Arabidopsis thaliana: one gene and its partners. The protein of the gene in region 2 interacts with the protein of the main gene of each other region in a pairwise test. Each region holds a gene or a part of one and is shown on either strand. Other genes may lie near its edges. The genes, in order: BLH3, AT5G01160 and AGL77.

What was found.
Region 1: the proteins of AT5G01160 (region 2) and BLH3 interact in a two-hybrid assay, tested with the Arabidopsis thaliana proteins (one large-scale study listed by BioGRID).
Region 3: the proteins of AT5G01160 (region 2) and AGL77 interact in a two-hybrid assay, tested with the Arabidopsis thaliana proteins (one large-scale study listed by BioGRID).

The regions. Positions count from the first base shown.
Region 1 is NC_003070.9:28,301,048-28,304,803, forward strand, and holds the start of BLH3 (BEL1-like homeodomain 3), read right to left. Parts: upstream 1,682-3,756; 5' UTR 1,356-1,681; exon of another isoform or gene 904-1,355; 5' UTR 844-903; coding exon 106-843; intron 28-105; coding exon 1-27. UniProt on the Arabidopsis thaliana protein: Transcription factor that is responsive of the nuclear import of SHOOT MERISTEMLESS (STM).
Region 2 is NC_003076.8:52,229-55,984, reverse strand, and holds the start of AT5G01160 (RING/U-box superfamily protein), read right to left. Parts: upstream 2,130-3,756; 5' UTR 1,789-2,129; exon of another isoform or gene 1,711-1,788; 5' UTR 1,706-1,710; coding exon 1,451-1,705; intron 1,329-1,450; coding exon 1,270-1,328; intron 1,027-1,269; coding exon 258-1,026; 3' UTR 1-257. Other genes in the region: AT5G01150 (hypothetical protein (DUF674)), read right to left, coding at 2,336-2,473, 2,546-3,277, 3,362-3,756. UniProt on the Arabidopsis thaliana protein: Probable E3 ubiquitin-protein ligase which is a subunit of the N6-methyltransferase complex, a multiprotein complex that mediates N6-methyladenosine (m6A) methylation at the 5'-[AG]GAC-3' consensus sites of some mRNAs.
Region 3 is NC_003076.8:15,512,478-15,516,233, reverse strand, and holds AGL77 (AGAMOUS-like 77), read left to right. Parts: upstream 1-1,928; coding exon 1,929-3,209; 3' UTR 3,210-3,291; downstream 3,292-3,756. Other genes in the region: AT5G38730 (Tetratricopeptide repeat (TPR)-like superfamily protein), read right to left, coding at 3,543-3,756.

The DNA of each region.
Region 1 (3,756 bases), on a different chromosome or scaffold from region 2:
ATGGTATTGGTTATACCTTTTATCTACCTGCAAAAATGTTTTCAAAACTCAAAACTCCAAAGTCTCTCTCTCACTTTAAAGTATTCAAATTTGATTTAGTCTTACCTCATCCACCATTGTTAAAAGCTTGCTCTTCTTGCTCTGTAGCTCCTGACGTTCTGAAGGAGACAACTCCTGCGATTGAGATTTATCATCTTCTGTAATGTTATCACTAGACCCATTGTGAAAGTCTTGACCTTTATCATTCTTCATCTTCTTATTCCCCAATTTCAAATCTTTCCTTACACTAACAACTTCATCAAGCAATTGTTGTGTTGGTTTAAGGTAACGAGATCTCAGTACACTACTCACAAACCCTGATGTCTCGTAACGGTAATTGTTGTAGAATCCAACACCATTATTACCATTGTTGTTGTAAACAGAGGAAGGTAAAATTTGATCAGAGTGATGCTGATGAACACTCAAGCTCTTCCCATTCTCATCAGACATAGTAGAAGGATTAAGATTATTGTAACTCAATTGGTTCGAAAGATTCTGGTAATGATACTGAAACGGAGAAACAGAGACAGCTGACTGGATCTGATTACCAAGACTTAAAGAAAGTCCTCCACCGTGAAAGCTTAGATCGTTACTTGACACCGTTACGTTTCCGTTGACGGCTACGTCGCTTGTTGGTGGGATAAATACCATCTCGTTGTTTCGAACATCACCGGAAACAATCTCGGAGAAAGATGCAGCAGAGGAAGAAGAAGCTTGTTGTTGTTGTTGTTGTTGTTCGTTGAGGTAAATGGATTCTTGGTAAAGAGATTGCATGCCGACACTATTAGGGTAATACACAGCCATTGGATAATAAATCGAAAGTGTTTTGTTGTTTAAGTGAGTTTCATCCGATTGATGTTTTGTCTGAAAAAAGAGAAAGAGAGAGAGAGAGACGTGTGAGTTTGAAACTGAAACTGGATAAATAAAAGAACAATTCTTTAAAGAGGTTAAAACATCTTAATCTCTATATACGCCGCAATTACAGATGAATTCAAGAAATGAAAAAAATATGAAATACTCAATTTAGGTCAAGAAGATATCAAAACCCTAGGTAAAGTTTCCACTTCAATTCAGTGACGCAAACAAAAACAGAGGATGATGTTTGAAATCATGAAAGATATAAAGTTAATTTTTTTTAAGTTCTGATGATTTCATACTTTTGTAAGAATTTAACAGAGACGAAGATGATGATAAAATTCGAAAAAGGAAATCTTTTTGTAAAAAGAGAAACAGAGTACAACAAGTCAATCATATAGCTTTGAATCAAGAAGCTACTAATAAGAACAATCGAATTATTATAGTTAAAGAAATGAAACCTGAGAAAGAGCTAGATGATAAACTATACAAAAGAGAAAGAGAGATTGTGGATGTGGCTGAATCAGGGAACAGAGAGATAAAAAGGGAGAAGAAGAAGAACTTCGAACAGTCGATGACAAAAAGAGAGAGAAAGAAAGAGAAGACACCCAATCCCAAGAGACGATTTTTATTAAATTCCGATACTATTTTAAAACTTTATTTGGCATTCACTAACAAAGAACAGAACCAAACCATCTTATCATTGGAACCTCGACAACAAACCCAGATTTTTTAATTAATGTTTAATAAAATATCAGTGTATCACTAACCTATGGAGAAATTTGACAATCTCTATTCTCTACCAGTAATTCTTTTTTGTTTGTTTTTCTATTCCAACCGAAGCTTCTATATTAAAATTAATAATTTTTTGTTGGTTTTTTTTCTGTGCCAACCATTTAGAGAATAACACGCGTGAGCGGAAATTTTCATATTTTTTTTCCTTTTCTCTGATAGGATTATTGTTAGATAATGGAGAATATTTATACAAATGCGACTTTTTATATGCATTTATATTTCAAGTTATCTGATAAAACAAAAGAATATTATTGGAACCAGAAGGAATACTGTGCAGTGTTGTCATTGACTTGACTTGGTGCTTATATTCAAATAAATATAATTAAAAATAAAGTATGTTTTTTAAAATGAAGAAAAGAGTTGAGTTTTCGTATTCTATGTTTTTATAAAGTTTAATTAATAGCTTGGACATAAATTCAAGCAACCGTTGAAATTTTTTACTATTAAAATTTTCCACCAAAGCTTTGTTAGATTAAATTAACTCAAGCAATCTCAAATTAGTTGTGGTTGTGATGATAAAATCATGGGTTAGTCTGAACCAACAGATGCTTTTATTAATTTCTTTACATAATTGCAGATCCCTGGTTATAAGCGAACGAGAAACATGTGTTACGTGACATGATACTTCATAACTAATCTATGATGTTTTGATGTATAATTGTTAAATTATTATAACGACGGAACTCTCTAAAAAGATTGTGATCAAAATTAAAATTAAACATCTTTTGAGGTCTCCTACTGTTTATACGTTATATACTTGTTTCTTCGCGTAATACATTGGACACACATACTCTTATTAAGTGACGTGCAAAAGAGGAAACTAATTAACTCCATTTTTTCAATATCTTCCTATTATTTACATATTAAAAATAAAGATATAAGTAGAATTGTCAACAAATCAATATATTGAATATAAAGTAATTAAAATTACTAAAGTATCCCTAGGCCTAGAGAATTTTGATTTGCCAGAAATGTTGCTTTGAGGAAGAAGTGTTGTGTCTGCTCAATTGCTTAATTGAGGGATTAAAGGACCTTAACAACCAGTTGGTGACTACCCAATTTCCTTACTTGGAACGAAAAAATCCAATTAGTTGACTAACAAATAAACATATTTTCTTAAATAATCAAGTGATTCATTTGACCTACATGAAGAAAATGTATTTATACGCAAAACAATAAAATGAAAAGAAAAGTTATGATGGGTCGATTCCATGTCCCAAAGGATCTAAGGAGGTTGTGTAATAAATAATAGAAAAAGTAGAATTCGAAAGAAGATGATGAAAAATGAAATAAATAAGGTAGCTGTGTCGGACGCGAAGTTGGTGAAAGTGGCCAAAAACGAAAGACTTGGACGCCAATTTGTTTCGTAGAGACGTTCCTTAACGGAACGAAGCTAACGGCTTTGTGTCCATCTTAATAAATGTTATTCTTATTTCAATTTCTGTATATTTCGTTTATTTCTTTTATTCTTTAATGTTTTTTTTTGTTTTTGGTTGAGTTTCGGTTTTGTCATAGATTGGAACAGCCGACACAAACCTTTCAAGGAGAATCAATGTGTTACAACAAATTCTTTTTTTATGAAATTTTATATATTTATGAGTAGATTATTTGTTTGTTTTTAAATGTACAACTGATAAACCCTACACACAGCTGGTTGAATATGGGAGTATATACAGTGGGAAAGTTTGAAAGGATCAAATATTTTTAACTTTCTAAAATAGGTTAAATGAATGTGGTTTTCTAAAGCTATTTATGATGAGTATTCTTATGAATAATAATATTATACATATCGTGAGTATATAATTTGAAGAAGATGATGAATCGATGATGAGTGATGATGATAGTGCTAAATGAGGAAATGACGAGTAAGAAATCAACAGCTTTTGTTTGGACAAAAAGCTTTTTGTACACCTAGCTATATGGTATGACAGCTAATAATAATTAATATCCTTAAGATATAATTAATCGCAGTTGTTAATCATAAATAGTCGGACCGTTTAACCACATGAGTTTTTCCTATTTTCAAGAGCAATCTGGTTAAACTACATGTAAATGGCAACAAAGTAA
Region 2 (3,756 bases):
TTCTTTCTTTATCACAGTGACACAGTGGGTGCAATCTACGATGGTTGTTCCTATAAAATGGTGTAAAACCTTTGGTTCAACCCAAATCAGTTTGGTTTTTCCGATGGAATTTTTGGCACGGTTTTGGCTCGGTTGAAATTGGGTTTACTCGAATTACATGTTAGACCAACAACAAACGACACAGTTTTTAGAAACAAAAGTACTTGAAACTTTCAAACGACGAGTTTAACATTGCACAAATTCAAACTAGACTACTCTTACTCCTGCCCAAAGCCATCACGGTTCTCTTGTGGCCACCCAAAACTTTGACCGTCTCTACCCCGGTTAACCTGCTGGGTCGTGTGAGGCGGTGCCATTCCGGGATTCCATGATGGAGGAGGATACGATCCTTGGAAATTCAGATTCGTCATTGGTGAAGGCGGGGGATACCCGAGCAATGAACTTTGTTCTGATCCGCCGCTCTCTGTTCTTGTCATCTCGTACTGAGCACCGTTAAAGAATTGTTGAGATGATCCACTCTCTGTTGTTGGATACGAAGGAAAACCAAACTGCTGTGGTAAACCCGGGTTTTGATTCATTGGAACGGGCAAGCTGGGCGGTTGCATAAGATTCATAGGCTGGGGGTAGTCTGGGAACCGGATTCCTGGTTTAGGACTAGCGGTTTCGAATCCAGGAGGGCGAGAGTTATCGCTATCTGGAGGGTAATTCTGGACTTGACTAAATCCAGACTGTGACTTTGCAAATGACGCCGACCTGTTTAGTTCACGGGATTGTTGCAGCTGGGATCTTAAAGGAGCTCGCAAGGTGGATTCTGAAGCTGAAGACTGCTGCATTGTGCTCTGAACATCTGACTGGTTACCATCTTCTTTCTCTGCATCGGCTTGTAATAGGCTTCCATGGAGGTCATGGACATGGGCTTCAAAGTCAAGTTTCTTCAGGAAAGACCTAAGACAATGAGGAGCTGCACAGATGAAGATCCCTTCCATCATCTTGATTGTTTGAATCTTCTGAATCCGCTCATCACATCTGTGCAGTAATCACACACACAAGAGACAACAAGATTTCAGTCTGATAATCGCTACGCCTAGTAAATCTTAAAATGTCTCTGTAGATTACTAAACAATCTAGAATATCTCTATCAAAGCTTCTAATGAAATTCGAAGCCTAGTTCAAACTATGATAATCCTGCGTCTCTGTAGATTACCAAACAATCTAAAGTATCTCTATCAAAGCTTCTAATGAAATTCGATGAGAGTTAAAGATGGTTACAGATAGCAGATGGAATCACTGCGAGCACATTCAAGGCAAAAGGCATGATCACAAGGAATCTGCAAAACCAAAACAAAACAAAAAAAGTTTCAATCACATATAGAAGAAGAGCCCCCTTAAAAAAACTCTTTAAGGCAAATCAATATAGCCATAAACCAATGAAGGAAGCGAAGTTTTTTACCAGACGACCATAGATTGCAATCGGAAAATCGCAACGAACGCAGAAGTGAACTCTCTCGCCTAGCTGACGGCGAGAACGACGACCGACGGGCTTGATTACGGTGGTGGGAGTCACGGAACCGATTCCTTTCGCAACAGGAAGATCGGCGAGGACGAGATGGTCGGGACAGGCTACAGTAACCGTCTCCGTCGGAGAAGGCCTCGCACCATTTCCAGTTTCCGTCGGGGAATCCCTCCGAAGACGAATTTGAAGCATTGTCGCTGTAAAAGTTACATGAACGGAACCCTAAGAAATACAAATCAAAAGAAAGAATAGGAATCAAAAGCTTCTCTAGTTACCAAGTTAAATCGGAGATTGAGATTTCAGATCTCTCTCTCTACTTCAGTTCTTCTCAAGAATCACGCCGGAGCCGAAAACGGCGAAGCAAATTTTGTTTTTGTGGGCAACGGAGGAGAATAGAAGCCTTCAAGTCTTCTGGCTGAGAAAGAGGGTTTCCATTAATTAACTTCAAGTCTTATTTTTTTCTGATCAACACTTCATATGTCTTCAACATTCCCAATTACTATATACCAACTGGATCTTATTATAAACTTTTGTATATGGATGCATTTTTTTTGGTAATGGTTGTATATTTCAGTCTTATCGTACTAGGAAATTCCAGATTTTAGGCTTGTTGCTTTATAAACTCAAAAAGATGTGCAAGTTTTTGCCTGCATTTAAAAAACCCTATTAAGATGAATTTCCATAAAACAATAATTTGATTAGTCTTACAAAGAAAGATAAGGCTTGGAAGAAAACATGAGGAATGTAATGTAGATTTTGCGGAATTCTAAAAACATAATCAACAATCGACTTAGAGTTCATTCTCACTAGCTTTCTATTTCTTCAAGTCTCTTCCTTCACTTTCTTTGAAACCGTGTCCCATAAATCAGTCTCCTCCTTCAGTTTCTTAGCAATCAAATTCCATAATGTCGTGCTCAAAGCAGAGGATGTCACCAAGGAAGCTCTCAACAAATCCAAAGCCTAATTCAAAATCAAGTGTCAGTCAAGTTCCTTTCAAGAATACAGGATCAAAAAGGGTATACAGAAACATACCTCTGCATTGCTGATACTAATTACTTGCACCTCTAGATCGTCTGCGTGACTCTGCAACTTCTTTAGTAAACAAACTGTGGAGCAGGAGTTCATAGATGTAATGGTCAGATCATCTAATACAGTACACTTTGTCGCTTTCTTCAAGAACCCCTGAGCAGACTTATCGCTGCCACGGGATTTGGGATCCTTCAAATCCACCCGAACGATTCTGTCTTTGCGGTAATAAGTAGTTCGATTACCGTTTGTAGTCAAACCATAGTTCATTTGCCTGTAATCGTAGAGCCTGTAACGGTAGTACACCGGAGGTTGTTGAGTGATAATACCAGGCAGTTGCATCTGGAAATTATAGAAAGACGGAAGTGCGCATGTGGAAGTTGACATTTGAGTCTCCTCATTTAAGTCCCTGAAGGTTCTACACATGTTTCCTATGCAACCTAAGGAGATACTGCTGCCAGAGATTTCCCATGCAGATTCAAGCGGGACAGCAATAAAAGAGAAAAGAAGCTCAACAAATTCCTCTCCGCATTCAACAAATAAAATCTTCATGTCCTGCTTCCTCACAAATGCTTTCAAAGTTACTACCTTTTCAGGTTCTGCTTCATCTTCTTTTTTCTCCAAACATGGACTTTGCGATTTGTAAAACTTCGTCGCACCTTGTGTAATCTTCTTGTTCAAGAAAATGTCCTTTAAGGGAGCATTTGAGGAGAATATACATCCCAGCAGAGTCAGTACCTAGTCCAAGATTCAGATATAGTAAGAGAGAACTAATAAAGTAATGATAACACAAACGCTTGAAGAATAAACTAACTAACATACCTCTTTCACACCAATATCAAGAAGCCTTTCACCGAGCTTACCAACATCAGCACAACCTAAGGATTTGAGCTTATTCAAGACAAGTTCAGTGGACTTGACTGACACTTCCAAGTCATCGGTTAAGACGAATGAACACCTACCGCTGACAAATACTCCATTATCATCATCTTGAAACCGGCCTAAATCTTGTTCCTCGTTTTCTAACTGAATCTCCTCGTTCATAAATTTTCCGCAACGACATTTAGAGGTGCTGAAATTACTGTACAAGCCGCAGTAACTTGAGCACTTAAAACACTTGATGTCCTCAGTAGGGTTTATGTTGAGCTTAAGCCTTTTGCACTGGAGGTCTTTCACACTCTTCGGATACACAAGCATCTGCTTACAAGCTTCAGTCT
Region 3 (3,756 bases), about 15 Mb from region 2:
AATGCATGGCGTGTATGTATATATGAATGTATGAATGCATGGCGTGTATGTATGTATGAATGTATGAATGCCGGCGTGTATACGAATAAGTGCCTGTAAGTATACACATTCTTCAATTGATTTGCGAATCCAGAATTCTCTGTTTTCTGAGTTCTAAGAAACGCCACATTCTAGGCTCTGGACTTTGCACCTGAAGAAGAAACGTGACTTAACATCATATTCAAAGACCAATATCAAAAGATCAAGGAGGAGAAAAAGATTGAATAGATCAAATATTTGAACAAAACCAAAGGCACTTTGTGTTTGTTAACATAACTAAGATTAGAGCCGCTTCCTTGGTTAACTATGATGAACCATCATCTTCTTCTTGTTCTCAGGCAAAACGATCTGTAAAAAATAGAAAAGTAAACCAAAAGAATCAGACCAAGAACCAAACCGGAAACACAGTGATGCAGAACAAAATCTATACCAGATACAGAGCATCACAACACCACTTGATCTTTGATTCCCATTCACAAAATCTAAACCTAATACAGATATCCCAATCTCGCGATCGTTTACAAAACCAAATCAAACGAATCACAAAACTATCGTAGATGGTATTGAGGAGGAAATAACAAAATTGATCGAGACAAATCAAACCCCAAAAGATTAACACACCGATGGAACAAATTAAGTAACATAAACAAAGAACGAGAGGTGTTGTAACAGTAATCGAATCAACTAATCAAGTAACAGAGAAACACAATTCATAAACAGATCATCGGAATTGAGAATTCATAATCATCGGAATTGCCTCAAAGAAACCCTAAATTCGAGAGTTTGATAACTAACCAGATAATCGATATACCTAGACGAAGTGAGAGATCGTCATTTCTGGATCATGATCGTCGCCGACAATTCGTCGGTGAACCAAGCAAGATCGCCGGAGAAAAAAAAACTTCTCCAGACATTTTGCAAAAAAAATTAAAATTTAGGGATTTCTAAAAAGTGAGAGATATCATAGAGAGATTTGTAGAGGTTTTTCTTCTTCTTCAAACGGTCTAACTCCAATTTTTTCCGCTATATAGAAAAATTCAAAATTTGAAAAATCAAGATTCCAAGACTAAGACATGTTTCGAAAAAAAGAAATTGAAATTCCAGCTGTGACACGTCATGATTATCATGTGCAACAAGTTTGAGCTTAACCGGGATTTTAACATTTTGGTTTAGTGTGAAGGCCTGAATGTTTTTGGTTAAAGCCTAACCACTGTGATCTCATGAACATATTTAGATTCGTTTGGTTTTGGTTTTAAAATGTGACATTAATTCTAAGTCCAACCCAATTAGATCGAAGCAATTATATGTTATCTTCCCAACCCAAACTACGTATTTTCAACTATACAATGAAAATTAAAAGTGACCAAATTAGGCGACACAGAAACGAACAGGTCCAATATATAATAGTTTGGGCCGCTGTAAAAATATACACGTTTGGGCCAAGCCTAGTAAAAAAAAACAAAAATTTGGCCTCTTAACTACCGATTCCAAAATTGAAATGTAGCGTTTTGATTATTCTTCTTTAAATTGTCAGGTTCTACGAAAACCCTAACCAGAGAAGCTTGCCAGCGGCTGAAGAGTTCCGACGAAAGCAGAGGAAGAAAAATATATCGGTTAACCGACCGAACCGAAACACTGGGTAACCAAACATAATTTACAAACCTTCCGATCGGTTTTCCTTTCCTAACCGAAGCAAAGCCCGGAACCAAAAATTTCGGTTCGGAGCGGTTCGGAATTATCGGTTCGAGTTTGTCTCGCAGGCCTACAAAAAAAACTCTATAAATATATGACATATCTAAGGGTTTCCTTAACCTAATTCATTAGCTTTTTCTCTTCACTCTGAACGTGAAAACAAACACAGAGAGTTTGTCTTCAAAATCAACAAGAAGATGACGACCATTCGATCTTCACCTTCTTCCTCTCGTTGTTCCAATTCGTCTTCCTCTTCTTCTTATTCACTCGCTTCCACAAGTTTGTCTAACAGACTTGAGACTATATTCAAGAAAGCTTCAGAGCTTTGCACTCTCTGTGATATCGAAGCCTGCGTCATCTATTACGGACCAGACGGAGAACTTAAAACATGGCCTAAGGAGCGAGAGAAAGTGCGAGACATTGCTCTGAGGTTTAATCAATTAAACGAAGCCTTGAGACACAAGAAAAGCGTTAATCTTCATGGGTTCCTGAACAAGAAGAAGAAGAACAAGGGTTTGAAGAATCCGAACAAGAAGAAGAAGACGAGTCTTAAGAACGTGAATGTTTTAAAGTATCCACTCGCTGATCATTACTCTCCCGACCAAGTTTCTCAATTGACTCAGTCCTTAGAACTCAATGTCTCTAAATTCCAAGAAAGGCTTCGATTTCTTGAGTCGCAGAAACAGAATGAGACAAAACCGGATCATCAGAGTTTAACATCAATATCTTCTCTGAACCAATCTTTGAACCCTAGCCAGTTCTCGCTGTTTATGTATAACCATGGATATAATACTCTGTCTCAGATCCCAGTCTCTGCATCAAATTTCAATCAGGATTATATCTCAGCGTTACTTGAACAATCTGAGTTGAAGAGTCAGATAATGAAGCAGGAGGTTTGTGGTTATGAGCAGAACATGTGCATGAGTAACCATGGAGATGCTACGCTCTCTCAAATCCCATTCTCTGCATCAAATTTCAATCAAGATTTTTCAGCCAACAACAACTTCCAACATTCTTTTGTCTCAAACACACAAGATTACTACTCTGTTCAAAAATCTGTGAATAACAACTATGGGTTGAAGAATCAGTTAATGAAGCACGATCTTTGTGGTTATGAGCACAACATGTGCATGAGTAACCATGGAGATGCTACCTTCTCTCAAATCCCACTCTCTGCATCAAATTTCAATCAAGATTTTTCAGTCTCAATACAAGAAGAATCTGGCTTGATGCAGCAGGAGCTTTGTGGTTATGATCAGAATCAGAACATGAGCATGGGTGACATCACAAACAACAATTTTCAAGTTACTTGCGCCTCAGTACTAGAATCTGTGAACAACTTTGGGTTGAATCAGTTGATGCACAAGGAGTTTTATGGTTGTCATCAAAACATGTCTATGGGTAACATCAATAACAACAGCTTTCAACATCCTTGGGTCTCAAACGCAGACCATACTCGGCGGTACAAGAATCTGTGAACAACTTTGGGTTGAATCAGTTAATGCATGCAGCATGAACTTTACGGTTACGGTTATGCAGACTTTTGTTAATTTCTTATGATTAATTTGATGTGTTGTTGTTGTTGTTGAAATGTATTCAGATCTACAGCTTGTTTACGGTTATTAGTTGGATAGTATTTAGCAGTACATGCACTTTCACTTTCCATAAAGGTCATTATTGTATCATGATTGATGCAGAGGATATCTACACCAGTATTCTTTCACTCTATAGTAGCTAGAAACAACAAGTACTACGTAGCTTATTAGTGTCTTTTAAAGTACATATATATAAATGTGATATGTTGGCTCACTTCACAATACCTCGCTTCTGTTCATTTCCCGTAAAATACTCTTCGATATAAGACATCTATCACCTACATGACTCCAAAAGAATCTCAAAACATCGTTATCACCAGCGTAAGAGGCACTGATAGATTTATAAAGTTTCAAGTTTACCATTAACCGTCGATTATACATTACATCGAACAAAGCAGAAGCTTCAGTGACCTTCCCTGTTCGCCAATAT